Linked DNA regions of Rhinolophus ferrumequinum. The protein of the gene in region 2 interacts with the protein of the main gene of each other region in a pairwise test. Links are inferred from orthologs where the notes say so. Each region holds a gene or a part of one and is shown on either strand. Other genes may lie near its edges. The genes, in order: CCER1, PLSCR1, GLRX3 and SLC35A2.

The links.
Region 1: the proteins of PLSCR1 (region 2) and CCER1 interact in a two-hybrid assay, tested with the Homo sapiens proteins (2 studies listed by BioGRID and IntAct). The two-hybrid records come from large-scale screens. The link is inferred for Rhinolophus ferrumequinum from reciprocal best matches to the Homo sapiens genes PLSCR1 and CCER1.
Region 3: the proteins of PLSCR1 (region 2) and GLRX3 interact in binary tests that used the Homo sapiens proteins (3 or more experiments, as listed by UniProt). The two-hybrid records come from large-scale screens. The link is inferred for Rhinolophus ferrumequinum from reciprocal best matches to the Homo sapiens genes PLSCR1 and GLRX3.
Region 4: the proteins of PLSCR1 (region 2) and SLC35A2 interact in a two-hybrid assay, tested with the Homo sapiens proteins (2 studies listed by BioGRID and IntAct). The two-hybrid records come from large-scale screens. The link is inferred for Rhinolophus ferrumequinum from reciprocal best matches to the Homo sapiens genes PLSCR1 and SLC35A2.

Annotation. Positions count from the first base shown.
Region 1 is NC_046293.1:82,529,335-82,536,613, forward strand, and holds CCER1 (coiled-coil domain-containing glutamate-rich protein 1), read right to left. Parts: upstream 2,877-7,279; coding exon 2,024-2,876; intron 1,750-2,023; coding exon of another isoform or gene 1,736-1,749; exon of another isoform or gene 1,614-1,735; intron 1,112-1,613; coding exon 1,083-1,111; 3' UTR 970-1,082; intron 611-969; 3' UTR 511-610; downstream 1-510. UniProt on the Homo sapiens protein: Regulator of histone epigenetic modifications and chromatin compaction into the sperm head, required for histone-to-protamine (HTP) transition.
Region 2 is NC_046285.1:5,726,291-5,733,266, forward strand, and holds the start of PLSCR1 (phospholipid scramblase 1), read right to left. Parts: upstream 3,017-6,976; 5' UTR 2,620-3,016; intron 1-2,619. UniProt on the Homo sapiens protein: Catalyzes calcium-induced ATP-independent rapid bidirectional and non-specific movement of phospholipids (lipid scrambling or lipid flip-flop) between the inner and outer leaflet of the plasma membrane resulting in collapse of the phospholipid asymmetry which leads to phosphatidylserine externalization on the cell surface.
Region 3 is NC_046299.1:2,007,402-2,015,107, forward strand, and holds the start of GLRX3 (glutaredoxin-3), read right to left. Parts: upstream 3,012-7,706; 5' UTR 2,950-3,011; coding exon 2,861-2,949; intron 1-2,860. UniProt on the Homo sapiens protein: Together with BOLA2, acts as a cytosolic iron-sulfur (Fe-S) cluster assembly factor that facilitates [2Fe-2S] cluster insertion into a subset of cytosolic proteins.
Region 4 is NC_046284.1:85,746,289-85,753,789, reverse strand, and holds the start of SLC35A2 (UDP-galactose translocator), read right to left. Parts: upstream 3,013-7,501; 5' UTR 2,993-3,012; coding exon 2,896-2,992; intron 1,405-2,895; coding exon 1,222-1,404; intron 1-1,221. Other genes in the region: PIM2 (serine/threonine-protein kinase pim-2), read right to left, coding at 5,176-5,339, 5,435-5,611, 6,194-6,566. UniProt on the Homo sapiens protein: Transports uridine diphosphate galactose (UDP-galactose) from the cytosol into the Golgi apparatus, functioning as an antiporter that exchanges UDP-galactose for UMP.

The DNA.
Region 1 (7,279 bases), on a different chromosome or scaffold from region 2:
TTAAGAATATTAGATATTGGGGCTATGACTTGTAAGAATTTATTGACCAGTGTCAGGATTGACCAGGAGCAGGATTTTTGGTTTTTCCTCTGCATATAACATTAGAACTGCAAATGTGTGGCCAATTTAAAATTAGTTTTATAGGTAACTCAGAAATTGCATCTTGCAAGAAACGATTTCTTACAGCATAATTAAATGGTTGTTCACTGCTATAGTTTGGAGTGTTTGGTATCATTTAAAAATTCCCACAAGGTCTGTTTTAGTTTTTCTTCTTCTGTTCATTATGTTGGCTACTGAAGTATTGCTGAACAGGTATCTGATATGTGAGAAGCAGGGTACTTTCATTTACTATTTTAAATATTTTTAAAGTTTTTATTATTTATTTATTCTTTTAACAACTTAATATTATCACCCCAAAAGCTGCAATTCAATGGAATATATGAGTAAAAATCAACTTCCAGGTAAGATATCACCATACAGTCTCTTCACCAAATAAATACTAAATTGTCGTTCAGATTATACTTAGAAGTACAGTTTGTCAAAAGATGTAATTTTTGAGAAGGCAGGCTCAAATTCTTCATCTAGGGATTCCACCTCTTCTGGAAATATGCTATGGATAGAAACTTTTATTAAATTATGAGAATTAAGTGCCCAGGAAGAAATGTATTATTACTTCCTGAAAATGTCTGAATAACAGCTATCATTTTGAATGATTTATTTTCCACACATAATTGTTCGGACATTAGAAATAAACTCATGTAGGCTTGTATGTAACACATCTTCATTTTATTCTCCTTTATAAAACAGAAAATCTGTGAAAGAAATAAGGTATTCCACCCCCAAAAGGACAACAATCTTAAAAATCCATTCTGCACAAACTATTTTTATGGTTCCTGTGAACTTATGACAAAGAATATATCTTGGAATGAGGCTTCAAAATCTAAGCCATATTCCATCGCTTGCAGTTACCTTGGATTTTAACTAGATGTGCAAGTTGACTTCTGACCATGGGGAATCCTCTCCATGCATGGATTTATGGATTGTTGAGGCCATGGCAGATAAACAGTTCCACAGAAGCAACTTCATGTTCTTCTGAGGAAGATCGATAGCACTGTGGAACAAGGAATATAAATGAGCGATGCCACAAGAGACTGCAGATGGCGTTACCAAAATACAGGCCTCAAAAATGAACTGTGAAGGTGGAAAGTCTACAAGGAAAAGAAATTTAAAACAGCTATTTGGGTTATCATGCTAAAAGCACTGATAGACATTCATTCAGCAGACATGGCACTCGCTTCTTATGCATGTAACAGTCCAAATAACTATTGATTCCAAGCTCATAAAGTAGATAAATTGTATAAATTTGTTATAAAAAGTTTTCAGCATTGCCAGAATTTTAAAAACTCAGGTGTGTAGAGGGGAAATACCAAATGAAACTATTGAAACTGTAGTAATAAAATAGTTTGGCCTTTAATAATTTCCAATTAAATTAGATTTGAAAGCTCCCCTGTCCCATAGTCATACACAAACACACCAATTTTTAAACAGTTTATAACGGCCAAAGAAGGGGTTTACATGGATGTTAATTAATGGAACTCACTTTTTAATTCGTTTTTTTTTTTAAATAAGCTGTTAATCCAGTTTAGCCTCAAATCAGTTCCATCCCATTCCTTATCTTTTCCTGATGTCTAAAAGTTAATGTCCATAAGGAGAGCTTCCTGTGGCACTTCAGGAATTATCTGATTGGGGCTAAAAAAAGAACAGTTCATAAAGTTCTCTCCCTCTTCTTCAGCCTCCACTAGGAATGACAAAGGTATTTGCAGAGGCAAATCATTCTCTTCCCCTCTCTGCTCATCCTCCTCCAGCCCCTCCTCTTCCTCTATTTCCTCCTCTCCTTCCTCTTCCTCTTCCTCTTCCTCCTCCCCAGAGCCAGACTCCTCCACTTCCTCTTCATCCTGGGCCTCTGCCTCTTCGTGTTCCTCCTCGCTCTCCTCCTCCTTCCCATCACACTCCTCTTGCTCACACTCATCATTTCTCTCCTCCTTCTCCACCAGCTGTTGGGCGGGAGACTGGTTTTCCGCCTGGGGGACAGGACTGAAGCTGAGAGAGGTGTTCCGCACACAGCTAAACAAACATTCCGGAAGCTCGGCGTCTTCCTCCCCACCAGCGGGCTGCGCGTCATTTCCGGAGGCGGAGCCCGCCGGGGAGGCGGGGCCACCTGCCTGGGCCCGCTGTGCCCGCAGCGCCTCCTGCTGGCGCTCCTGCTTCTCTTGCTGCCGCATGTCCTCGTAGACCTGGTTCATGATGAACTGGGTGGTGTTGCGCGGCGCACGCATGCCGGGCGCCCGCCACCCGTACAGGTTGACCGGCCGCAGCAGCGTGCTCACATCCACGGGCGGGTTTCTGGGGAAGGAACGGCGAGGGTGGCGGCGCAGGCCGCGGCCCCTGCGGCCCCAGCGCTTCTTCCTGCCAGGGGGTCTCGTCCAGCCGGGGTTCCAGGGCTCTTGCCAGCAGGAGCAGCAGCAAAGGCACAGCGGGTGCATGCCACACACTCGGATCACTTGCATCCGGCCGGGGTGCTTCCAGCATCCCGCCCGAGGAGGGCGCCAGGGCCCTCCCCAGCGCCGCCGGTTAGAGTGCACGGCCCTGTAGGGACTTCGGGGTGGTTGGAACCATGGGCCCTGGCCGTGCTGTTGCTTCGGCTGTTTCCTCCGGGGCTCAAACGCGGCGTTGGGGCCATAGCGGGGCCGCCGCCTGTAAGTCGGAGCGCCCCTGCGCCTTCGGTGGCTGGAAGACCAGGTGCGAAACGGGGCAGAGGATGACCAGCCGCCGCCCAGGTTAAGAGGGTCTTCCCTTTTGTTGAGGGTCTGGGTCATAGTTCACGGAGCTTCGAGAGCTCTAAATGGAAGCGTCCCAGAAGCTGTCCTCAAATTGGCCAGATCCCACGGTCTAAAGGGCCTCGTCACCCTGTGTCTCCCCTTGCAGTGCCACGTGCCTGTCGCTGAGATCCCGCCTTTCCTCACCAGGGGGACCCCTCTCCTCCACTCGCTACTAACCCGCTGTTCTGTCGTAATCTCTTGCCCTTCGCACCCGGGTTGTGTCGCCCAAGCTGGCTGGCTGGGACTGGGGCTGGATAAAGATGCTGGGGGAGGAAGATATGGATGGGCTACACGCAGCGAGAGCCGCACCCGGGCCCCACAGGCACCCGCCTCGGCAGAGGCTAGGGCTGGGCACGGGGAAGGCCGGGGTTGCGCGTTATCTTGCTGCTCGGTCTCAACCCAAGTGCTTCACGGTCGCCGTCCTGGGGGGGCTGTGGGGCGCAGGCAGGCAGGCAGCCTTTAAATACCGGCCGGAGCCCCCGCGTGCCCACTGCGTCCTTGGTTGCCCTGGGTGACAGCCAATTGGCGTCGATGGCTTTCGCTGTGCGTGGAGGTGGGGGTTCCGGCTGGAACGACGTGCCCTGTGAACATTCGCGGGGGGCTTGTGACGCAGATTTTAACAGGGGCAAAGCGAGGCTAGGCTGTGTTTGTGTTGCCCCAGTGTGTTGGCTTAAGGCTGTTTATTTGAACCCTTTGTACCACCTCCAGGCTTAGGGGTACAGAAGATGGCCCTTCAGCTAAAGTCGTGGGTTGGGGTTGGAGGAGAGGGGAGGTGCGACAATTGAAAAAGATATCCTACACCTTTGGGAGCGGGGCTGGGGCGGCGTAAGAATAAAGAGAAAGCTCTTCCAGTCGGAAAACTGGGCCACAGTCCTTATTTTATGGCCAGTGCCTACTTTTCTAACTCCTGGGAGCTGCAGTTCGAGCTACCCGAAACAAGACCGCAAACATTTATTGTGTTGCTTATTGTGTGCAGACGGACCCGTGGCACATAATCATCATGCCTACCCTGTGAGGTAGGCATTGTTGCCACTCTCACAGATCAGGGAATTGTGAGGTTAATTTGCCCAAGGTCGTGGGGCTAATGAACTTCAGGGCTAGTATTTAAGCCTGGCTTAAATACTTAAGGACATCGCTGCCCTGTACTCCACACGCACCTTAAATAGGACTCTTGTAATGAGCAAATGGAATAGGTCTGAGAAATCACTTTGCTAATTGTGATAGACCGTGAAAATCTCCGTTGATTAAGCAAACATTACCAGACTGTATATACCATGGGTTGTTGAGAATACAAATATGTCAATATGTCTTTCCTTTTGTCCCTGTATCTGCCAGACAGCACATACATTGGGAGCCTTTACAGTATTATGGGTCCGAATATCGCTTTGATTTGGGTAGACATGCGCCTACCTACTCTGATGATACTGCATGGTGGGTACATGTCATTACACATTTAGCCGTAGAATGCACAACACCAAGAGTGAACACTAATGTGAAGTATGGGTTTTGGGTGATAATGACGTGTCAATGTCGGTCATCAACTGTAACAAATGTACCACTCTGGTGGGGGATGTTTATAATGGGGGGGGGCCATGCATCAGTGAGGGAAGGGAAGATCCAGGAAATGTCTGTACCTTCTGCTCAATTGTGCTGTGAACCTAAAACTACTCTACAAAATAAAGGCTATTAAAAAATAGACATGCTTCAAGTTCAGTTCACCAATTATGAACCTCCAGTTTCTTACCCGTGGCGTGTTCCAGTACCTCATTGCATAGGGTTGTGTTAAAGATTAAATAAGGTACTGCATTAAAACACTCAGTGTAGATGCCCAGTAAGCACTTAGTAACCGTTAAATATCATCATCATATTCAAACGCTTCGGGACTTTTTAAAAATTAGTTTCAATATACAAAACAACATAGTGATTAGATAGTATATACCTCATGAAGTAATAACCCCAATAAATCTCTTACCCGTCTGATACTGTACATAGTTATTGGAATATTACTATATTCCCTATGTTGCTGTATATCCTTATGACTATTTTTTTTAAATTATACTTGACATTCAATATTATTTTATATTAGTTTTGGGTGTACATCACAGTGGTTAGACATGATTTACGAAGTGATCCCCTGACAAGTTTAGTACCCATTTGACATATACGTAGTTTTTACAGTATTATTGACTATATTCCCCCTACTGTTCTATACATCCCCACGACTCTTTTGTAACTACCAATTTGTACTTCTTAATCCCTTCACCTTTCTCACCCATCCCCCTAAACCTAATCCTATCTAGTAACCATCAATTTGTACTCTGTATCTATGGCTCTATTTTTCTGTTTGTTCAACTATTTTGTTCTTTAGATTCCACATAAAAGTGAGATCATATGGTATCTGTCTTTCTCAGTCTGACTTATTTTACTTAGCATAATACCCTTTATGTCCCTCTAGGTCCATCCACGTTGTAGAAACTTTAGGAATTTTAAAGAAGTAAATACATTATATGTAAAGATAACTACCCCTGTGCCTGATGCAAAAATAGGCATCCCTGCTCTTGTGTCCTTTTCTTCTCCCACGTTTTAGAAGCATCAAGCAGTGCTACCAGGCTTGATCCTGGAGAAAACTGTCCCAGAGTATATCCCCTTATTACCTTACCATGGTGGATGGAATTGTGCAAAATGAAACAGTGCCCACTGGGAAACTGAGTCTATACGTGCCTCCATTAAATGACATAGAATGAAAATGTGGGGAATCCCTGAAGCTTGCAAAGGTCACTTATGCATTCCTGTTGAAGACTGAGAACAGCGTGGGGGTTCCTGGAGCAGGACTCCAACCATTGCTGTGGGACCTGTAAATGCTACAGGCTTCATTCAATTTTATGTGCTCTGTGGTTTGCTGAAGACAAGCTTGCTTGACTCAAATGTCTAATACTGACAATTTTAGCCTCCAGTGTACCTTTTTGGATATAGACTCACACATTTGGAAGTTGACCTCTCCCTGTTCTGCTTATCTCAGAATGCAATGGTTATAATCCAGATTTATTTTTAGGATAAATGTGGTATACAATATAGAGTTTTCATTGAGAGCTTTAGAAATTGACCATGTTGCTATCATGGAATTCCCATCCATTTTTTTCCTTGTTTTAAAATAAAAAAAATAAACTAATAGATAATTAAGGATATCATTTTTTTTGATCAGTTGCTGTGAACTTTATACCGATAATACTAGCTTTATATACTTTTTCCATGGTGAGAGCTATATCTTTCATATTCATCCTCCCTATTAGAAATATGAATGCTATATTGTCTTGCCCCACTCTTCCTCTTAGTAGGAGAAGCAGCAAGTTACAATTTATGATTTTTAGTTTTTTCAACACATTGGCATTATAATACAAATTGTTCGGTAAATCATCCAAGAAAATTAGCACCAGAACATGTTAAACACATTCATCAGTAATTCAATTAAGGAATATTTTTAAAGACATACTTTAATTCATCCATATTCTTTAAATACTGAAACATGAAATGTTCTTATTCAATATTGAAATATAACACATTTACCATATGTTTATATATGAGGCCTGACAATTAAGTTCACAAATTTGTTTCAATGATGTTGCTAACCTTTTTTGATATCAGAGGGATTACTCCTTATGAATTTGTACCAACTGGAGAAACAGGTAACCAAGTTTACTATTTGGAAGTGTTGAAAAGACTGTGTAAAAAAAGTTAGACAACCTGAACTTTTCATCAACAATTCATGGCTCTTGCATCATGACAATGTACCAGTTCCCATGGCACTGTCTGTGAGAGAGTGTTTAACCAGTAAACAAATAACTGCATTGGAACACCCTTCCTACTCACCCAATCTGGCCCCCAGTGACTTCTTTCTTTATCCAAAGATAAAGGAAATATTGAAAGGAAGACATTTTGATGACATTCAGGACATCAAGGGTAATACGACGACAGCTCTGATGGCCATTCCAGAAAACGAGTTTCAAAATTGCTTTGAAGGGTGGACTAGGCGCTAGAATTGGTGCATAACTTCCCAAAGGCAGTACTTCGAAGGTGACCATAGTGATATTCAGCAATGAAGTATGTAGCACTTTTTCTAGGATGAGTTCTCAAACTTAATTGTCAGACCTCATATTGTATTAGTTTTCTATTCCTGCATAAAAGTTTCCCACCAACTTAGTTGCTTAAAACAACATACATGTGTTATCTCAGACTTTCCAAGTGTCAGGGATCCAGGAACAGCTTAGCTGGGTCCTCCCTTCTGGGTCTCACCAGGCTGTGATCAAGGCCTGGCAGTTTGGGTTCTCAGCCAGGGGCTCACTTCAGAAAAATCTGCTACCAAGATCTTTCATGTTATGGGCAGAATGTGTTTCTTTGTGGCT
Region 2 (6,976 bases):
TATTTCATCTGTTGAACTATGGTTCTGGTAAAAGATAAGCAGAGCAAAAACAGATGAGTTTATACATCCAGGTGGCCCAGATGTTGTTGAGCATTTGAGTACACAAGTCCACCCTATGTGCAAGGTATAGGGTGGAAGTGGGGTGACTGAAACCCATTTACAAATCAAAGTTCCTGATACCAGGGAGTCTTCCTGTAAAAACCCAATCTTGTATTTAGAGTTCAAGGAAACAAAACAAATAAGCTCAGAACCATTTGGGGGGAGCATTTTATAGTAAACAGTGAAGAAAAAAAGTAGGTATTACATCAACTGGGACCACCTGAGAGAGTAGTGCTTAAATTAAGTGTTCTACCACACTAACAAGTAAACCAAAAAGACAAAAGAAACAAAAACTAAACTTTAGGTCAGTTATCCTAGTTTGATTGCGTTATTTCTCCTGAAAAGCTTTTCCTGACAACTCAGAGCTCCCTACAAATTTGAGTTGTTTCCTTGCCTCCTAATAAACGAGGAAACTACACTCAAAGAGTGAATGGTCACTTAATGTTATACATCTCACTAACTAGTTGAATTAAAATGATTCATGTCCTTTGCATTCATGTCTTTGATTCATTGAAAAAAAAATTTCTCTCAAATTGTCAAATTTCAGTAAAATTTATTAAAAGACTGTATTTATGGTATCTTTCTTGCAAATTTCAAACTTACGCAAGGCTATTTTCTTTTTACCAGGAAAGGTGAAAGTATTTTTTAAATTCAAAATTTGGAAAATGAAAAGTACAATTACTAGTACTGATTAACTACAGTACTTTGGCTTTTTCAACTTAGCACTGTTTAAGAAAGTATAATAGTGTGTGTGTATATATACACACATATTATAATGCACATGTTCATATATACAAGTATGTATATAAATATTCGGTTGGTACAAAGCTTGTGCCTTTTTTCAAAGAATACTGACTGAAGGCATAGTGAAAGCCATTATAGCAATCACTAGAAGAAAATGACAGATTATATTATTAGAAATACTCTAAATGCTATAAATAAATATAATGGTGCTATAATAAAGAGTTATGGGGCCACTAGCTTAGATGCTGGTGGTGGTTGACGGGGTTGTAAAGAAAGCGAGATCTGAGAGCTGAAGAAGTCTGAAATCAACCAGGCCATGAAGGTGTGGGGGTGGGGTGGGGTGAGGCATTATAGACAGGAAACTCAGTATGTAGAAGTCCTGAGGCTGCACAGAGCTTGTTTCATTCAAGGGCATGAAAGGTCTGTGTGTGAGAGAGAGACCACAGGGAGAGACCATGAGACAGGAAGATGGAGAGGTGCACAGGTTGTTACGCCTTAACTGTCTCCCCAGCTGCACTCTAAGCTCTGAAAGGCCAGTGCATGGCCTGTCTTGTCCAGGACAAAGCGCTTAATTGGTGCTTTTTGATTCAACAATGTGTGTACAGAATTATTAATTTCATTCCTTTCAGTCAGACAAAACAGCTCTCTTGCAGATGCGAAGGCTGCTTAATCTTGACCTAGTTATTTCACATGCCACTTTTCTACCCAACTGCAGAAATCCACTCATTTCACTACCATCCCTTGTGTTTCTTCAGTGTTCAAAGTGCTACAATCGTCATACTCACCAGTGTGGTATTAGGAGAAACTTCTGCTGGTATAAAAGTTCAAAGGAGAAAAAGGGGACCCCAAATCACCTGACATTTCACACTAAGTGAAACCTACCTGTACGGTACTAACCCTGTACCTAATACTACTAATCCAGGAGAAACAATAGTTTTCTGCCTCTTCCTGGAACTGGGTAGTGAGCATGCCAGCACTTCCAGGAATAAATGTATAAATAAAACCACAGGGGGACCAGGTAGAAAGCGGGGAGAAGCAGAGACTTTGTCAAATATTAAAAATAACAAAAGCTTTCACTGAGTACTTTCTGCAGTGCCAGACCCTGTCTAACGAAGTTACACTAATACCTGTCATACTCTAACTCTCAGAACTCTTTTACTAGTTACACAGTTTCAGAGATGAGGTACGGAAGGAACATATATGCAGAAGAAACTGGCTCAGAGTCCACGGATATAAGCAGTAGAGGCAGGACTGGAGTCAGGCAGGTGGACTGCGAGATAATGGTCTTCTCCTCTATGCTACACAGCCCCTCTAGCTTCCCAATTCTTCTGGTGTTCCAGGTCCTAGCATAGTTCCAGCTGTATCCTAATTCATATTTACTGTTAAGTGGCCGCTGGCAGGTTCTATTAACCGTCCCTTCTAACACCCCACATTGTGCCGGCAGACACCCCGGAGCCCAGGTTCCTGCCCTGATTCAGGGCTGCCCTCCTCGCTGGGAAGAGATGTTCTCAGGGAAGGAAACACCATAGTTGGTCGAGTCTCTACCAGGTAGGTCACCCGGGGACCCTCAGAGCGCCCCCGCTCCACTTCCGAGGTGGCTTCCCGAGACCGCTGGGACCCCAACCCCCATCCTCTACCCCCCAACCTCAGCGCAAGCACAACCCGCCAGCCCTCGTGCCCCTCGGTCACGAATCGCCCCCGGGCCCCGCGAGGCCCGGAACCCGCACAGGCCCCGCGCCCCGTGCCCGCGGCAGGGCGGAGAGCGCACCTACCCACCTGTGGCTGCTGCTGCTCCGGGGCGGCGCTGGGCGAGACGAGGGCCGGGAACCCGGGCGCCTGGCGGTCGCTGTGTCCCCTGGGCTCCTCGGCAGCTCAGCGCGGCGCGTTACACAACCTTCCCTGAAGTCACCAGGAAGGGGGCCTCCGAGGGACCTACGCGGGGCGGAAAACCCGGCTCTAGGTTTCGTTTCCTGGATCTTACGTACACAAAAGGGTCTGTCTAGCCAGTCCCCGTGGGAGTTCGGGGTCCCGCGTGGCTGCCGGAGGGCGGGAGAGCTGCCTCGAGGCCGGCTCCCCAGAGGGGCGGGCGCGGAGATGTCCCCCTGCCCCCTTTCCTACTCTCAGAGACTCCAAAATTGTTGGTGTTGCATTTCATGGGGAAGTCAACACTGGCTAGAATGCGGACAGTCTTGAACGCGGGAGGGTTTGCCTTCGGGGTGGGGCGGAAAGCACTGAAGTGCTGGGAAATTCCTTTACCCCGGCTTGACCTCCACCCCGGCGATTCCGGTTGGAAGCAGTGACCGGGGCTGAGGACAAACGCGGATGGGGCCAGCTTGTTTTCCTTCATGACGTCTTTTCACGTTCGCTCTCTTGCTCTTTGTCTCTTTCTCTGTTTCTCTCTTTCCACGAAACGATGTTAACTTCGTTTAAGAGTCAAACCGACCTGATGCGTTTAGAATGTTTAGTTTTTCAGGCCCCTCCAGGAGTGGCAACCAAGCCCAATAAACAAGTATTTGTTGAACTGAACTGAAGGATTCATTCTTTTTTTTTTCTCTAAAATTTTCATTTACAAAAGCGATACATGATCTTCCACACAGTAAAGCTGAATGTGGAGAAAATAAGTGAAACATACCTTCTGCATCCCCCACTTTTCTCCCCATGACACTGTTAAGAGACATTTGAAAATTTACTAAGAGAGAAGGAAGGTTGCGGGAGAGAAGAAAGGAGTTGGGAGGGATAGCGAAATTGAGAAAATATGACTGAAAAAGGAGGGAGGAAACCAAGCAACTTGGTTTGAATCCCTTCTCATCTCTGTGACTTGGTGCAAATTACAGTCTGTGTCTCCTTTTTAATCTGTAAAATGAAGGTAGTAATAATATCTACCTCAAAGATTTTTATGAGGATTAAGGAAATTAAAATACAAAAAGTTTAGACTGATGCCTGCCACACAGTAAGTGCTCAATACATACTATATACACAAATGTACACGTTAGGCCACATTTAGGACAGAACAGGAAACTTCTTATCTTAAAAGCCATCTTGTCTTTGTACCTGTACCTGCCGGCTTATGTTGCTTTAGGCTTGGAGAAGCCACCTAGAAAGTAGAAACCATCTTATGCTGTTCTAATGGCTCGTGATCAGCAGGCCTGGGAGGGCCTAGGAGGTCTGGACCGAGGGAGGCTAGAGGGGCAGGGTGTGGAGCCCAGGGCTTGGTCACGTCCCAAACAAAACCCTTGGTTGCTAGAGACAATGCAAGGAAAACCCCCTGAAGCATTGAAGGGGGAACAACCTCATTGACCCCCTCCGGTAAAACTCCATACCCCTTTTTGCTCCAAAAGGTTGTGGTCTTTTCTAGCCTGACCTCCCACAGTTCAAACACGCCAAATAAATTCTAATAGTCCAATTTTAGTCTCCCATGACTCATTCCTCTGGCCGTGCCTAACAGTACATAGTTTTGTTTTTCACGTTAACAGGATTATTTTATGCAAACTATTCTCTGTTGTGTTTCCACTTTATGAAACTTCTTGGAAATCCCTTGCCTTTAATACAGAACTGTATCGTTGATCTAATCATTTAGGTGTACTTTGCTTCTAATTTCATAATTACAAATTATGTTGTAGTCATCGTCCTTGCACTTATTTTTCTGTACACACTTTAGAAACTTATTCTGTTCTGCCAATAAAATATGAGAATGCTTGTTTTACCATGGATCGCCACCTCCTGATAATCATTTCTAAATGTTTGTTATTCTGATTGGCAAGTATTATGCTATTATTATTGTTTTTGTTAATTCGAGTTGTTAGTAATGTTGAGTAATTTTTTATATTATTGCTAAACATTTTACCATTTTATTCTGTGAAATATCTGATATTTAATACATAGTTTTCTGTTGGATTAGGACATTTTTCCCCTTGCGAATTTGTTGTGCTCTGTATATATTGTAAATTCAATTCCTCATCTGCTTAATAGAGTACAATTTTTTTTTTTTTTTTTTTGCTCAGTGAGTCTCCGGATTGTGTCACATTTAAACTTGCTTTAACAATACATAGTTTTCATTTTTAATCATCTTTTACTGTGTTTTTCACTTTTGACTTCTAGGCGTTGCATCTTATTTTAGAAAGTTTTCTGTACCTCAGGACATCCAGTATGAGTTCTTCCTTGACATTTGTTTATTTATTTATTTTTAACATCAGGACAACTTTTTAAGAATTACTTTTGATATACAATGTTGTATTAGTTTCAGGTATACCATATAGTGATTAGACATTTACATAATGTACAAAGTGACCATCCCGTAAGTCTAGTTCTCAACTGACAATATACATAGTTATTATAATATTATTGACTATATTCCCTATACTGTACTTTATATCCCCATGATGACTTTTATAACTGGAAATTTGTACTTCTTAATCCCTTCACCTTCTTTACCCATCCTACTGTTAGGTAGAAGCTAGAAAATGTAGGAGGAGGAGGAGTGGGAGGTGGTCCTTAGTGCCTACAGAAAAAGCTCACAAGTAGCTTTGATTAACTGCCTCCAGCCACATATCTGTTCTTATAACAACAGATGACAAGAGGTGGTGTGGAGCAAGATAAGGATCTGAGTCAACAGACCTCCACCCATCTTAGGAAGTCATGCCCTCCTATGAAAGAGCATGCACCACCTCCCCCACCCACCTCTCCGGCCTAAAATCAATAGATAACTCCCTGTATAAGTCCTACTGACGCAAGTTCTCTCACCCTTTTTTTTTTTTACGTCAGCTCTCTTGCTCACGCTTTCTCTCTCTCTCTTTCTCTCTCCCCCCTCCCCCTTTCTCTCTCTCACCTCTGCTAGGCCCATTCTCTTCCCTGAGAACATATCACTAATATCCGGGACCTAGGCTTCTCTAATCTCTTTCTCCCTCTCCCCAACCTCTTCCCTGAGAATGTATCACTAATAAACCCTGCTTGCATATTAATCAGCTTGCTGAACTTTGATTCTTCACTGTGTCAGCAAGAAGAACTGAGACTCCCGTAACATTTTGGTGCCATGATTTGGATTGCATCCTTTGTCTCCAGTTGTTTGGATGGCAGTGAGTAAGGGTCGGCAAGCTTTTCTTGCCTTTCCCACCTTCAGAGGAGATTCTCAACATTTTCAGAACTTTTTCTCCTACCTCCGAAATTTGCCTCTCCAATCCCTTAAGATCTTGTTCTTTTTGAACACTATTGCCCAACAATGGGTAACGCTAATACCAGCAGACTGAGAGATGGAGGGACAAAGGGACAGCTACTTGCATGAGGGCTTGAGTACTTCCTTCCGAATGGAATAATCAAAATCATACCCTGGGCTTTGACCATTAGCCCTCTATAATTTCCCCCTCCTGACCGAGCCTTTTTCGACTCCTAGAAGAACACGGGAACTACCAGGACTCTTTCGCAACCCCTACAAATCCAGAAAAGAGGTGGGATAGTCTGCCACTGTCTCGAGGGGCAGTCTTACCTCGCCCCAGACAATTTTTCCCTTTTCTAGATGGGGAATCAAGAGTCCATTCCCGCCAGTACCCCCTTGAGATGTACCCTTTCTAATTGGTCACAATTTGATCCTCAAAATTTAAAAGCCAACTAATCTTTTTTTTTTTTGTAATACAGTTTGGCCCCAATACCAACTAGGGGAGAGGGAGGTTTGGCTTCTTAATGGGACCCTAAACTATGACACATTTCTACAACTCATCCCCTTTTGTAAACGTCTTGGAAAATGGTCAGATAGTCCTTCTATACAAGTATTTTTCTATTAGAGGGGTGGTAGAGATTTATGCAAAAAGTGGAACTTAGCCCTACTAAGCCCGTGCTTACTGATCCCCAAATTCTCACTGACCCAACTCCGGCCCCAGGGACTCCAAAGAAGGCCCTCTGGCTACCTTCTTCACCACCCTTGTACCCAGAGTCCCCAACACAACTGCTGGCCCCTGCTTCTCCTGCCCCTAAAGCTGTTCGGACAACTAAGCTCTTGCCTCTGATAGAAACAGCAGGAGAAATTGGCCCCCAACTAATAAACAGACCCCTCTCCCTCATTGAGCTCAGGCAAATTAAAGCTGACCTTGGGAGCCATTCGGACCATCAGACAAATGTATAGATGCTTCCAACACCTTACTTT
Region 3 (7,706 bases), on a different chromosome or scaffold from region 2:
GAAAATACACTGAGTAAAACGACAAAGAAGACCAGGAGCTGTGTGACTCCATTTACATTAAGTCCAAGAACAGGCAAACCGAGTTTACAGTGACAGAAAGCAGATCGGTGCTGGGGAGTCCTGGAAAGGGGCTAAAGAACTTTCTGGGGCTCTCTATCCTTGTTTTGAATGATGGTCATTTGTGTGCATACAATTGTCAAAATTCATCACATCTAACAATTAAGATCTGTACATTTTATTATAGTATGTAAGTTAATACCTCAATCTTTTAAAAGTTAGGATACCACTTTTTACTGGATCGAAAAAATATTTTTAAAATAATATTCAATGACAAGAAAGACAGAGTGAGACAAGCACTTTCATATCCTGCTGGTTAAAATTAAATTGGAACCTGTCAGAAACTTCCCACTTTCAAGTATCCAAAGAAAGTATTAGAGACAAAGGTTTATGTGACTGAATGCTTTCCTATTATTTTCCATAGCAAATAACTGCAAAAATGTATTGTTCAACAAGTTTTTTTAAGTCATATAAAATATTATAAAGCCATGAAAAAAATCGTATGTTGAAGATTTTTTTAATGACATGGGAAAATCCTCACAATATGATTACATGTATTTTAAAAATTAAAATAGATTACCAAACTTTTTAACAATATGAAATGACATGCAAAAAAGAAAATAAAAAAGCACACACATACAACTTAAATTTCATTACTACTAATGTGGCTTTTAATTCCACCTCTGTGAAACAGCAATAACCAAAATCCTGGGATGTTGGGAAGATCAAACAAAACTATAAAGCACTTTGAAAACACTGAAGAATGACATTAATGTTCACTGTTCTTGTAAATCATCTGCAATATTCTCATATCTAGATGTGTAGCTTCCACTTTCCAGTTCAGTACATGGTGCCTTATATCGTAAGGACATAAACCTGAAACAAACATAAGTGCTATTTATCATCCTCTCTCGGCTTACAGGGAACAGCACTGTCTCCATCTTCACGGATAGCCCAAAATGCAGGGTGCACTGTTTAAGGAAAACCTTTAGAGAAATCCTGATTGATGGGATTTTAGACAATGCAATGAACCTGGGTTCTTCATCAGTAAAATCATTAGTGCTCATTAATGGCTGTTTCTATTATTACAGGTGTTCTGCTCCTGCAGTTATTCATCTGCAGATAACACAAGCTACCACTTCTTAAACACTAGCACATGCTAGACTCTATTAAACATTTTACAAATAGGCAAAACCTTAATTACTCTGCAAATGGATATTAATATCCCCACTGTACAGACCACCTGAGGTTTCATTAACATGTAAAACATGTGATTGAGTTAAGCAAAGAAAAATTTTCAGTTCATATGAAATTTTAAAACTGAGAAGTGAAGATTTGGGAAGTAGACTTTAAATTATTACATTAACGAATGCTATTTAATAATTCTTAAATGCTTCGATTTTCACAAAAAGCTGCAGAGATTTGTTCCTTGCCCACATAGCAGGCGTCATTTCCCATGTGCCCAATGAAACTCTCACTATGGAAAAGGTGCACTGCTTTTGGAGTCACTTCAAGTACAGACCAGTGACAAGAATACACCCAAATGTACTTCCATTTAAACTTTTCCTGATAGTGATATCTTAAGGACCTTAATATTTCAAAAAATGAAATACACAAAAAGCAAAATGGTCTTCCAGATGGTAGCAAGTTCATTTACTGAGGGCAGGTCCACACAAGCCCTGCTCATTTTAGGAGGCCACCTCTGGTGACTTCATAATTGCGCTATTTTAAGATGTGTGGAGTGTTGGCTGAATCAGAACCCACTTTTCATCAATGAGTAAACGTCATCCCCTCTCCTTTTTAAACAAACAATTTTCCAGGTAACCCTGAAACGCCAAAAGAGCTGTTGTGGTTAACACTTTTAACTCCATCCCCTTCGTAAAGCATGAAAGGCCAAGGACCATGAAAGGCTACTCGCACCCTTCCCATTTTCCACGAAGGCAGTACGTCCCCCGTCTGACCTGCACACGCTACCTGAGCTACTCGCCCAGAGTAGCACCTGTCTCTAATTCACATTCCTCAGCAAAATTCTACCGCATTTAGGTCCGTAAGCATTTGCTGCGTGCCAGCTCCATGCCCTCCGCTCCATCCAGAAAATGCCGAGAGCTAAGGCTGACTGCTCGTGCACGCGAGGCGGTGCGGTGCGGTGCGGTACGCGCAGCATCCGACTCGGTGCTCCCAACCTTGGGGTGGGCGCTGTTCTGACCCATTTCACCGCTGCGGACACTGAGGCCCGGTTATGACACCTGCCCGGGGTTACACGGCCACCAAGAGGCTGAGCAGGGCACTGGCTCCCGGGCAGTGGGCGCGGGAGCTCCCACCGCACCACCAGGGACACGCTGAGAACAGGCGTCCCGGGAGGGAGGACCCGGCAGAGTGAGGTGCGGTGAGCACGACGGGGCCCGTTGGTCCCCAAAGGCGGACTGCGCACCCCTGCGCCGTCGTCGGGGCGTCTTCCCAGGGCTGGAGGACCCCAGCAGGCCAGCTCAGCAAACAGGAAATTCAGGCTGCGGCCGCCGGGAGGCTTTAAGTGTGAGCGCTGCCAGCGGCGCACACCGCGCTCCAGACGCCCCCTGCAGCCGGGCAGCCTCCCCGGCCCCGCCCGGCCTTCCTCTGCCGCTCGCCGCTCACACCGCGGGAAGGGGCCGCGCCGGGGGTGTGCGGCCGGACCCCGCTCCTCCGCCGCGGTGAGGAGCCAGGGCCCGGGAGCCGCGCCGGCCGCTCCGCCCAGGCCGGGCCGCGCCGTCCCGCGAGGCCGGCCTCCGCCGTGCCCCTCACCCCTGCCGCCCGCCGCCCCGCTCACCTGGCTTTGAGGCGCAGAAGCTCCTCAAACTGCTGGGCTGAGCCGACCTCCACGGCCACCGCCGCCGTCTCGGCCGCTCCCGCCGCCATGCTGCCGCCGCCAGACAAGAGCAATCGAGCGCCGGCGGCCCGGGGGGCGGGGCCTCTGACGCTGTGCGCGAAAGCCCCGCCCCCGGGTCCGCCCCGCCCCGGGCCTGCGCCTGCGCCTGCGCCTGCGCCAGCACCAGCCAAGACGAGGACACCTGGGGACATGCTTCCGGCCGCTTGAGCTTGCGCACTGCTCCTGAGCTTCCCGGCTCCCAACGGCCAGGAGTCTGCCTGCGGGTCTTTCTGCTCCGTACCTTCCCTGCATCTCCCACAGCAGCTGGGAGAAGGGTGTGCGTGTGATGTGAGTGTAAGAGAAGTCAGGTTTGCACTTAACAAAAATCGAACCTAAAATGAAATTACACCAAGGTGAGGATGGATGGGAGGTCAGGGAAAGAGAGGTTGCGCCATCTCGGAACCTCAACACTGACAAAGACCTTTGAATTCGGACCTGAAGGACCCGAACCCGAGCCACCGCGTGTCCCGCCACCTGTGCCCCCGCGATGCCCCCCACCTCGGAGCAGCATCGCCTGGCACCACGGCCCAGCTCCAGGACCCCTGCCCCTCCCTCACTCGGGCCTCCAGGTCCGCATACTCTCTAACCTCCAGCCCCTCCCTGGTTCCCTGTGGATCCCCCTAATGTTGACTCTCCAGGTGGTGTCCTCCCACACTTGTCATGCCCCGCACACACTCTCCGGCCTGAGTCACGTCCATGCCCTCCATCTCCACGGCAAGTCCCTCCGCCCCCAGAGCCCAGTCACCATCTGCTTTGGGGAGGGCTGTCTCCTCTTGGAGGACCCCACACCACACCTGGCCTTTTCTCCAAAGCGCCGCTCCTGTTGTAGCTCCCATGTCACTGAAAATTCGTGCTCCCACCCAGACAGGAGGGGCTCCTCCTGGACAGCCCTGGGGTTCTGGACAGGCTTTGAGGGCAGGCCCGATGGAGCCTTCCCTCGTGTTCAGGGCACCGTGCCGCTTCTCCCACGTGCACATCTCACTGGATTGGAACTGTGCTTGTCTCCTCCACCAGCTCAGTTATGGAGACAGGCAGGAATGTGCGTACCCCAGTGTCTGCATTGGAGCCGGGCAGAGTCGTGCTCAGTGCGCGCTCGCCACGCGCAGCTACTGGAAAAGTGGGCTCACGGAGTTTCAAAGATTTAGTAGTACCAAAAAAAGGTAATCTATCTCATTAGTAATTTTTAATTGATTGCATGTTGAAATGATAACATTTGGGATATATTGGGTTTTGTGAGATATGTTATTAAATTTAATTTACATCTTTTTATATTTTTAATGGGGTTGCTAGAAATTTAGTTATGTAGTGACTTTCATTTGCGGCTCACCCTAGGTTTTCCCTTGGCAGCGCTGTTCTGGTCATTGACAGTGACCGGTTAGGAGCCCATTACACGTGTGCCTCACCCTGAGAATAGGTGTTACTGACAATTGTAAATTACAGTGTTTGAAATGCAACAGGAGAGCAATGAGGAACTGTTTGTTCCTGACTGTGGTGGTAGATACTCAAACATGCGATAACATTGCATAGAACAAAATATATACAAACAAGTACAAGTGAAACTGGGAAATTGAAAAGAATGGGTTGGTTATATGGATACCAGTATCCTGGGTGTGGCACTACTACAGTTTTGCACGATGTTATCTTTTGAGAAAATGTACACAGGTCTCTTTGTATCATTTCTGATACCTGCATATGACTCCACATTATTTTAAAATAAAAAGGTTAGTTGCTCTTTTTTTTTTCTTTTTTTCTTTTTAGTAAAGGAAACCTAGAGATTACTATGGAGGAAAAATTCAATGGGGGGAAAACAGCATGTTGCAAAACAGGATTAGGCTCCAATAACCATCTTTAACAGAATTACATGTAAACAAATATATAACTATACACGGCTGAATGTAGCATAGGAAGAGACCTTCAGAAGGATGTCCCCAAAGTGGTAGGAGAGCTTGCCTGCAGAGAGTGAAAATAGGGGAGTTTTAAAGGGAGGACCTTCATGCTTTACATTATTATAGGCTTCTGAGTGTCATGGGCATTTTTTTCAAAGAGTGGAACTGGCCTTGTAATTTAAAAAATAATGAAATTGTAATGCACCAGGGAAATGTGGTATATGGATCTTTTTTAAAAAACAAAGCAAAACAGTAAGCAGCCTTCTAATGTGGCTGTTTTAAAAATCCTGATTTTTCCTTTAAATGGAATTTGCCGAAAGCAGCATACACCAGCTACAGAGCACACTCCCTACTTCAAAACAAAAGTTAGGAACATTCCCAGACATTCCCAGTCCTGCCCCCTGCCCTTTCTGCAGTTATCACTGTTGGTATCAACAGGCCTGACATCAGCAGATGACGCCTGAGCTTGAAAATGCTCTCACGTAGGCAACCAAGACTACTCCATTCGGCTTTGAGCCCACGCCGCATGTCGGGAGCTGTGGCTCCTGAGTTCCAAGTCCATAGGTGTATACACAGGTATGTGGTGGTTTTCAGCCTTCCAAAGCAGCTGCACACACGTGCCTGCATTTAGCATTCTGTGCTACCTTCAGCTGTAAACACCTCAGTGCCTACCCCCCTTTACAGCTAAGGAAACCGGCCAGGCCCACAGCCGGGAAGGGCCAGCGAGTGACTGTCAGGCCTCACCCCAGGGCCCTCCCGTTGGGCTTCAAGCTCTTCTCACTGCCACCGCCACCCTGTCCCACATGCGGCTCCAGTGTTGGAGGGCCCAGTCCTCTTTCTCTTGTTCAGGCCCAGAGGAGAAAACTTGTCATTGTCATATTAAATGGGGTTGGCCTGTTCCTTCTGTTACACTCTGGACTTGGCTTTTCCTGGTGCCCCTATTAGTGCTTGAAAGCTCAAAACCACTGGAATCCAAGATCCAGGGGCTGATTTGGGCCTGTGTCCCCAGTGTGGGTTCATCCCAGGCACCGACATTCTGCTGACTCCATATGTAAGCATCGTTTAGCCACATCTTATTTCCAATTTGGAGCAGTGAAGGAGGTGGGGAACCCCTTTGGAACCCAGTGACACTTCATCTTAAGTACCCTCTGGGCAGGGGCCTCTCCTGGGTCCCCAGGCCGCTCTTGGTCTGGCACCAGGAACAGTTTTCCTAGGACAGCAGCACAGCCCTGAGAAGGATAGGACAATTAGGTTTCCCCAGGGTGCTGTATGGCACTTCAGGGGCCGGGAGCATGGGGACCAGGAAACTGGGGCTCTAGGTCCTCGGGGCTGAAGCCTGGCCTGACAGAGCGAAACTGCAGACAAAGCTGCAGGTCGCAAAGGAATGCCAGCCTATGTCCAAACTGCCCCATTCTAAAGGAATGTGTGTGTGTGTGTGTGTGTGTTTTCCCCGGGTAATGACAGCTAACACTTACTGCTCCTGCAAAGGCAGGGAAATACTGCAGCCGTGCCCTTCTGATGACGCCTGGCTCATTCCTTTGCCCAGCCAGGTGGTGTCCTCCACGGCAGGCAGGGCACAGTGCTGAGTTCCAGGTGGGCACATATAACCCAGAGAGGAAAGGAGTGACAGCCAGTGGAGGAGCACTTGGAACTGAACCCCCAGCTGGCGGGGTCTTTGTAAACCCCACCCCAGGAGCTGAGACACACAGGGAAGGAGTGAGCCAGCTTTAATGGACGACGAAGCATTTGTACTGGAAAGTGTGTTACTCAGGTAAAGTGGCCAACGTTTCCTTTCTTTTAAGAGACTCTTAAATTCCAATCACTCTGCCCCCAAAGACCAGTTGAGGGTAACCCCAACCGGAGGGAACTAATTTCCTTAGGAATTTCACTGTTGCAGGATTAATGGGCCCCCTGCAGAGAAATAGTAAAACTGTAAGTACAGTAGATTGGCACCTGAAGGATACATATTTTCATTTCTGTTCTCAAGCTGCGATATCTTCTGGAGCTGCTATAAAAAGCATCAGTGAGCACCCGCACGTCTGCTGAGAACTTGCTAACAGCTCACCGGGTGGAGTCAGCACAGTGCCAGACTCCCGGGCTGTGTCCACACAGCTGGCCGGGGGCCCACGGTCATGTCCAGGGGTTCAGTGACTGCTGGGCGCCTGGGTGGGAAGGGCCCAGATGCCTTCCCCGGAGCCCTGACGGGAGGACCAAAGCCCAGAGCAGAATCCCTGGACTAGGTTCTCTTAAGCCTACTTGCACCCCCACGCCCAGCCCTGCCAAAAACCTTGGCACAGCATTCGCTGAGAGACCATCGACCTGGACGCAGAATGGGGGAACCGAGAGGTGGACAGTCTGCATCTTGCCCTCCAGAGCCCACCAGGGAATATCACCCCACTGTCCATTAGCTTTGGTGGCCCCAAGAATGGGCTTTGTGAAAGGTGCCTCACAAACCATGTGGATGGACATAAACCGGATTCTAGGTCCTACCAAGCCACTAGCCCTCCTTCTTAGTCCAAGGGCCAGCCTGACAGTTGGGATGCCCCAGCTGTCACCCTGATAGAGAGGAGGACACAGGCTAGGGAAATGGGAAGGCTGTGAGGGCTCCTCTGTCAGCTGTAGGAGCCGGAACTTGGGCCGGCACAAGTCAGCCAAGCTTCTGTGTTGTGTTCCTTACCAGGAAGTGCTTTTACTGGGAGAACTCTCCGTACATGCGGGCTGTAAAGGTGGTTTATACTGTCATAGCTAGATGTTTATGGGTTGTAGTTTTGCTATACTTGCTTGAAAAATCATGATTTTCAAAGGAAAGAAGAATTACATACCCAGTAAACTAAATAAGACTCATGTTTATGAAGGACCTC
Region 4 (7,501 bases), on a different chromosome or scaffold from region 2:
AAGTGCTGAGGGTACAGCCACATGCAAGGCCTTTATATAGAAACGACTAGGCAGCATTTTAAAGAAGACCTTCAGGGAGGTGTTTACCTTAGTAGATAAACCCAACCTACAGGGAATACAGACGACAGAAGAACATGTTAAATAATACTACAGGGAGGCAGACAGCAAAATCCAGGTTACCCCAAGTCTGTAAGACAAATGACCTGCTTTCTTGAACAAATTAACTAGAGAGGAAAAAAAGAGTTGGAGGGAAACCTAGAGGTGGACAGACCCAGAAGACATCAACCAGTTACAAACACTGACCTTGATGTAAACTCGATTCAGACAAATTTTTAAAAACGTTTATGATATTTGAGAAATCACTACGAAATTTGGACATTAACTGGATATTTGGTTATGTTATTAACTTTTAAAATTATTGTTAATTTTTTGATGTATAATTTTTAGTTATTGCAGTTATTTTTTTTTAATATACCAAAGTATGTATTCAAGATAATAAGGGTGGATTTACTTCAAAATAATACTTCACACGGGACACAGGTCAGGTCTCTGAGTACCATTTGTTTCATTCAATGTTGTTGCTTTATAATGTTGATGAGATGCCTAGAAACTTAACTCTTGTTTGTATGAATTAGCCTATGGTAAAACTGGTTTTGTTTAATGTTTCATTTAAAGTCTCATTACTTATTGATGACTGATAACATTAACGGAGGACTTACTGTACTTCAGTATCATAAGGCGGGGGTAATAGGCAGACATAGATTGGCAGAGTGGATAACCACTGACGAAGTTTAATGGCAGAGTGGCCATGAGTTGATAATTGTTGAATCAGGGTGATAAGGGACATGGGTATTTTACTATTTTATTATTTTCTCCGATTTTGTGTTTGAAATTCTCCATAATGAAAAGTTTTTAAAGAGAAATACATAAATCACCATGTAAGGGTCACCTGCTACTTATGGGCACAGACTGTCTCCCTTGTACAGTCCCCTCAGGCCAGCTCCCAGGGTGGTTGGGGTGTAAAAGTGTGGATGCAGCTACTCAGAGCTGGAGGGACAACGCAGCTCAGCTGTGCTTACATACTCCCCAGGCCGTTTCACAGACAGAGATACTCCAACAGCAAACCCTCCATGTGGATTCGGGTACGTACACACACACACACACACACCACGCAGAGTCCCACCCACCGACTCCAGTGCAGCACCCTTCCCTGGCTCGTACCCCTCTTCTGTGCGAAGAGCAGCAGCAGGCAGGTGAGACCTTTGAGCACTTCGGCCATGACCACAGCAGTGGTGGCAAAGAAGCGGTCCCCAGGCAGCGTGCGGGTGTAGCGGATGCTAAGAATGAGGGATGCATTCTGGACCACCAGCACGGCCAGGGATATGTATTTGAGGCGCCGGTGAGCTGTGGGGAATGGAAGGAGCAAGGGGGAAGAGAGGGTCAGAAGCCGTCGGGGTATAGCCACACCACCACCTTCCCGTCTTTTCTCAAGCAGGACCCGCCTAACCACCACAGCTTCCTCCCTCTGTCTGTCTGTCCAGCCTGTTCCAAACAGGGTCTGACTCCTCCTGCTTCCACCGCCTCAGTCAGAGGAAGAAGAGCCGGAAAGGGAGAAGGAGGCGGGGCCCATACCTGGAATCCTTGCTGATGTGTCAGGAAATGGCTGGAGAAGGCCCTGTCTCCCGGGGGACAGAATACCAACTACATTCTTATTGAGTGCTTACTGTGTGCCAATCGCTGGGCTCAGGGATTTATATGGATTACCTCAATAGACCCTAATATCTCTCTCATCTCCTAAGGAACTATAAGGATTCCCATTTTATGGAAGAGCAAATCGAAGATTTACATGAAATGTTGCTTCTATTTAATGAGGGGCTGTCCCATGTGAAGTATGATACCCCAATACAGGGAATGAGAGCACTGTATAGGGCATGTCCACCCCCTAAGAAACGGTCTTTCCCCCACCTAAATTAGTCCATTCCCTCACACTCAGAATGGTCTCTCCAACCTCTCCTTCCTATGACGACTGATTCCTTCTGACCCCAATGACCTAGCAAACATAACAAATGATTCCCACACTTTCCCAAGGATTGAACCACATATAAGCAGTGGTTGCTTCACCAAGAGTGGCCTAGTGCCCTCCATGATATAAGGAGGTATTTCCCTCTACTACACATGGTCCAGTACTCCAACCATCGCATCCTACCTCCAGCCAAGGAATTACTACTCCTTGTTTTCCTCACACAGTGGACTCTCCCGGTAAGGAAGGGTGGCACCCTCAGAACGTCCCTTCTCCCACTCCCACACACGATGAACTATAGCTCCATTTGGAGGGGACCGCCAGGACGGTCTTTTCCCCATATAATAAAGGACATTCTTATCCTCAAAACGGACTAAGTCATATAAGGAAGGACCCGCCTTACCCTAACTCGCAATAGCCCGCCCGTTCATAAGGAAGAAACCACCACCCTTAGAGCAGCCTCTCCCTTCTATAAAGAACTCTTCCACACTCAGAATGACCTCTTCCTTCTGTGAAGAGAAACTCTACCACCCTCGGAAGGGTCTCTCCCCTCTATAAGGAAAGACACACACACCCCCCCCCCGAATGGTCTTAATGCTCCTAGCCTCCCCAAAAGGAAATATCCCCCTAAACTCAGAATGGTCTCTAGTCTCCATGTGCGGAAGGGACCTCCCATCACCCTCTGGTCTTTTCCCCACCAACACTCTCTCAACGGTCTGTTCCGTTCTTCCCTCACCCTCACCCCCAACCCCGCCACCCCCACATAGGTCGGTCCATACGGATGCTCCCTCTCGCCTCAGTGAGGAACCTTCCTGACCCCCTCAGCGATCCTGACTAGTCCCCGCCGCCGACCGCTCGGCCACAGCCTGTCTCACCCGCACTCACGGTCCCAGGCTCCAACGCCCCCGCCCCCGCGGAGACCGCCCCTGGCCCGGCCGCCGCGGTGGAACCGCTAGACCCAACCGCTGCCATGTTGGCATCTGCCGGGCCCGTCCCCTCGGCAACAGCAGGTCACTTCCGTGTCCATCACTTCCGCTTCCGGGGTGAGGTAGGGTGAGGGATGGGCTGACCAGAGCGGTGGCTTTCCCTGTCCCTTCCAGAACGCGTTCTGCCGCCAGCCTCGGGACTTCCAAATTTCTTCTGGATAAGGAGATCGGGCACGCGGCTGGCTCAGCCTTCCGCCGTCTCTGCACAGCCTGTTCAGCCCATTCCTGTTACTAGACCCGCCCCCATCTTCATCGATCCAGTTTTCCAAATCACCCGCCCATGCTGTCTCCTTGTCTCATTGGCTCGGTTGCCCCGCTGTTTCTGCACCCTCTTCTGATGGCACCGCCCTTTCCGCGTCAAAACTCGTCTTTCCAGGTTGGACTGACGTTTCTTTCCTCTAGCCCGGTGAGGACCCGCCCCCTGGAGAGCCTGCGGGCATCTGGGAGGGAAGTGAGACTGAGGGAGCGTGGCAGGTGTAAGGTCAGGCAGGCAAGCTAGCGATAAAATCAGGGCAGTTTAGGATATACAAGTGAAAAGTGACTGGCGAGTTCAAAAGGCGAAGGGAGGACAAGTGAGTCACCATTGAGGATGGAAAAGTGAGAAGCAGACAGACAGCTAAGCTAGCAGCTGAGAGGCCGAGGTTAGCTTTTGAAAACAGGCCAAGAGTACAGCTGAGGTTTGGACAAGTGAAACCAAGATAGTATAGGGCAGGGCAGGTAAGTCAAGAGTTGAGGAAGGAGAGATGAACGAGCAGGTAAGACAAGGGAGAGGCGAAAAGGGCAAAACAGGTGACTTACCCCCTAGAGGTTATTAGAAATCAAGGGGCTGGGGGGATTTCCTGTCTGCACTCTACCCTGGCCCCACCCTCCCCAGTGCCATGAAAGGGCTTTTCTTCTCCCATGGGGAAGAGATTTAGTCTCTCCCTGGGGTTGGGGGAAAGGAGTTTTTTCTGGCCCTGAGCTAACCATCTGTAACTGAGGATGTGTCCCAAACATTTTCAATGTCTATCTCCAATGCAGCCCTTCTGCACATACCGGGCACTACACGAGAGCAGGTGTGTGTGTGTGTATGTGTGTGTGGGGGGTTGTCAAGTTTTTCTTTGTGGTCTTGCTTAAATGAACCCATAAAAGATCTTTAGGACAGTACCACAAGACAGTCTTCCTGCGGGTAGAAGTGAGATCCAGTCCATCCCCCTCGTCTCAGCATGCAGATGTTCCACAAATGCCCCACTACAACTACAAATGGCCAGTCACTTGTGATTCTATAACGTTTATTAAATAGTGGGATTCCGCACATGGCTTTTTAAATAATCCAGGCAGGGGGAGAAGGGAGAGGATGACATATTTGGAGCTCCCTTTCCCCAATACGTTAAGTATTTACATTTCAGCAACTGGACAATCCTGGCTCAGAAGGAGGCAGCAAGAATCCAAAAAAGATGGGGGAGGCCCCAAGTGAACAAACAACAAGACTTATTTCCCCTACCCCATTTACCCCAAAACACACACCCCTCCACCCTAGTGGACTTTAGTGGTATCCATCTCCCATTTCTTCCCAAATTATGGAAGTAGGGTTCTCACCAGAATAAGAGCACTTAGAATAACACAGTAGGGTCCCCCTCACCAAAAAATAAAATAAAATAAAATAAAAAAATCTTCTTAAGCCCTGGGGTAACAATAGGGCATTACCTCCCCCAGAGTAAGCAACCTTGGGCTGAGGTAGGCAAGCAGCTTGACTGAATATGAGACCCTAGGCTAGAGGAAAGGGTCCCTTTACTAAAATAAAAGCTGCTGGGGTATTGAAGGAAAGCACCCTTGCCCAAGTTAGAGCATTTGAACTAAGTTTGTGTGGTGGTAGCAGGAGGTGCCCATGTAAGGGTTGTAACAATTCAGAATAAGAGTCCTGGGACTCCGAAGGGAAGTAACTTCAACCAAGTAAACATCCTTAGCAAAATGAGAAGCAAGAAGTCCTCCCCTCCAGATAAGAAACCGTAAATTCTGGGAGGGCTCCTTAGCAGAACTGGGATGGGGGCTGGGCAGACTTGGTTTATGTCTTCTGACCCCTGATCCCCAAACTGACCCTAGTTAACACTGGATTTTTGATGGCCTGTAAAACCAGGTCAACAGATGTCCTTCTGTCCCTTTGGCATGGCCATGGGATGGCCATCCCAACTAGGGCAGCAGGGACCAGGCCAAAGAAGTGGGACCCCCTTGAGGGGTGCTGGAGGGTGCATCCTCGGCTGGTGTCTGCATCCAGGGGTCCAGCTGGATCTCCTCCAGTGAGGGTCGGGCAGAGGGTTTGGGGGCCAGGCACCGGCGGATTAGGGCACAACAGTCTGCAGGTCACAAACACACAGATTAGCAGTGAGTTGTGGACACCAGTCCCTGGGAGGGATGGAGCCCACTGGGTTGGGGCCAGCGATGGCCTCACCTGGGGAGACATGGGCAGGAAAGTGAAGCTCAGCCTGCAGAATCTCCTGGTCCCTCTCGAAGGGAATGTCCCCACACACCATGTCATAGAGAAGGATACCCAGTGACCAGACAGTGGCTGGGAGTGCATGGTACTGGTGACGAGAGATCCACTCCGGGGGGCTGTAAACCCTTGTCCCTGCACGCAAGCCAGAGGTTAGACTACTCTCTGATAATGCCCTTCTCCCACTCCACCCTCCCCAGGAAGTATGGTCCCCACACCAGAATTAAGAGAATTACTATACGAGCAGGGTCCCCTCGCCACAATAGGAGTTCTTTAGCTATAATAGCAGGGTCTCATCACCGGAATAAGAGCAGTTAAGATAACGGCAGAATCCCCTCACAGAACAAAAACACTTAAAAGTTAACAGTAAGATCCCCTTGAGACAGGATATTTAGCATGTCCCTAGGAAGTCCCTGTCTACCGAGGGACTTGCTAACTATCCTGTCTCACCCTTACCAGGAAAAGAACACTTAGGATAATAACAGGATCCCCTCACCAACATAAGAGCCCAGAACAAGGAAAGTCAGGGCACTGTGAGAAGATGGGCTTTAACAGAGGGCAAGGCTTGAGAGTCCCCCGTATTAAAAATCAAGAACCTTATAAAGGTACAATATAGATCAAGGGTTACAGGACACCCCAGCACTGAAGGTTAAAGGTCAAGGGACCATAAAGATTAAAGGTAAAAAATCTCCCCACCGAGTTTTAGTGAAGCCTTACCATCAAAGTCAGTGTAGGGTTTATCGTGAAGCAGAGCACCAGAACCAAAATCAATGAGTTTGATACAGTCCCGGCGGAGGTCTATCAGGATGTTCTCATCCTTGATGTCACGATGGACAACTCCACGGGCATGGCAATGCCGAACAGCTGCCACTACCTGGGCAAAGAGGCAGCGGCTTCGGTCTTCACCCAACGGGCCCTGCTCTGTGATGTAGTCAAAGAGATCCTGGGAAGGCAGAGGCCGCTCGAGGACCAGCATGTAGCCCTCTGGTGTCTTAAACCAGTCAAGCAGGCGGATCACACCAGGGTGTCCACCACCTGCCCCCACCTTCCATAGCAGTTCCACTTCCAGTGGGCACGTGACTGAGTCCGACTGTGGGGGGAAACAAGGAGAGGAAAGGAAATACAGACATCAGGTCAGCGGCTCGGAGGCTGACTTCTCACCTGAACTTAATCGTAGCCCCTCAGCCTCCTGACCACGTGGCCTGGAGCAAACCACTTCCTTCCATGGGTCTCAGTTTCCTCATCTTAAGGGCTCAAACTCACACAGCCATTGGGAAGGTGATTCAAACCAAAAGCCTATGCACATCTGGCACATAATAGGAGCTCAGTAAATATTTGAAGAATAAAAGTGGTTCTTAATGAAAGCCACTATTATATAATATGTTAACCGTTTTGTTCACTGACATCTCCAGAGTTTATGATGAGACGGGGGATTGTAACATTGGCCCTAGACCTGCTTTTTTGAGATTTGGATCTCTGGTATAATTTGATTTAACAAGTGTAATTTAGCTTGGGACCTTTTGAAAGCTTTCTTTTCTTTCTTCGCTTCCTTTCCACCAAATGCTAAAGATTCTGCTTCCTATACATTTGCTATGCAGGTTTCAATGGTTGTGTTTACTTTGGCCCAAGCAGGCCCTTTGACTTAGGCAAGGTTTTGCATTTGTATGGGATCCACTCCAGGCTCCAACTTAAATCTACATAACATATGCAAAGGTTGTGATAAACAGCTTAACTGCAGTTTCCCCCACCCCAAGGGACAAAGCCGAACTGAATAGAAAATTCCATTACAGGGCAAAGCAATTTACATCCTGGTGAGAAAATTTAAAACTTCAGACAAGACTCAACACAATAGTTTGCAGTAGTTTCCAGAGGACTCTGCCCAACAGACTCTACTCTTATTTAGTCTTCCTTCTGTATTTCTGACTCATGAATTCTTTCACGACCCACAGACGAGTAGCCACAACAGTTTAGAACAGTACCGTATGCACAGTAGGTGCTCAATAAATGTTCGTTAAATAGACGAAA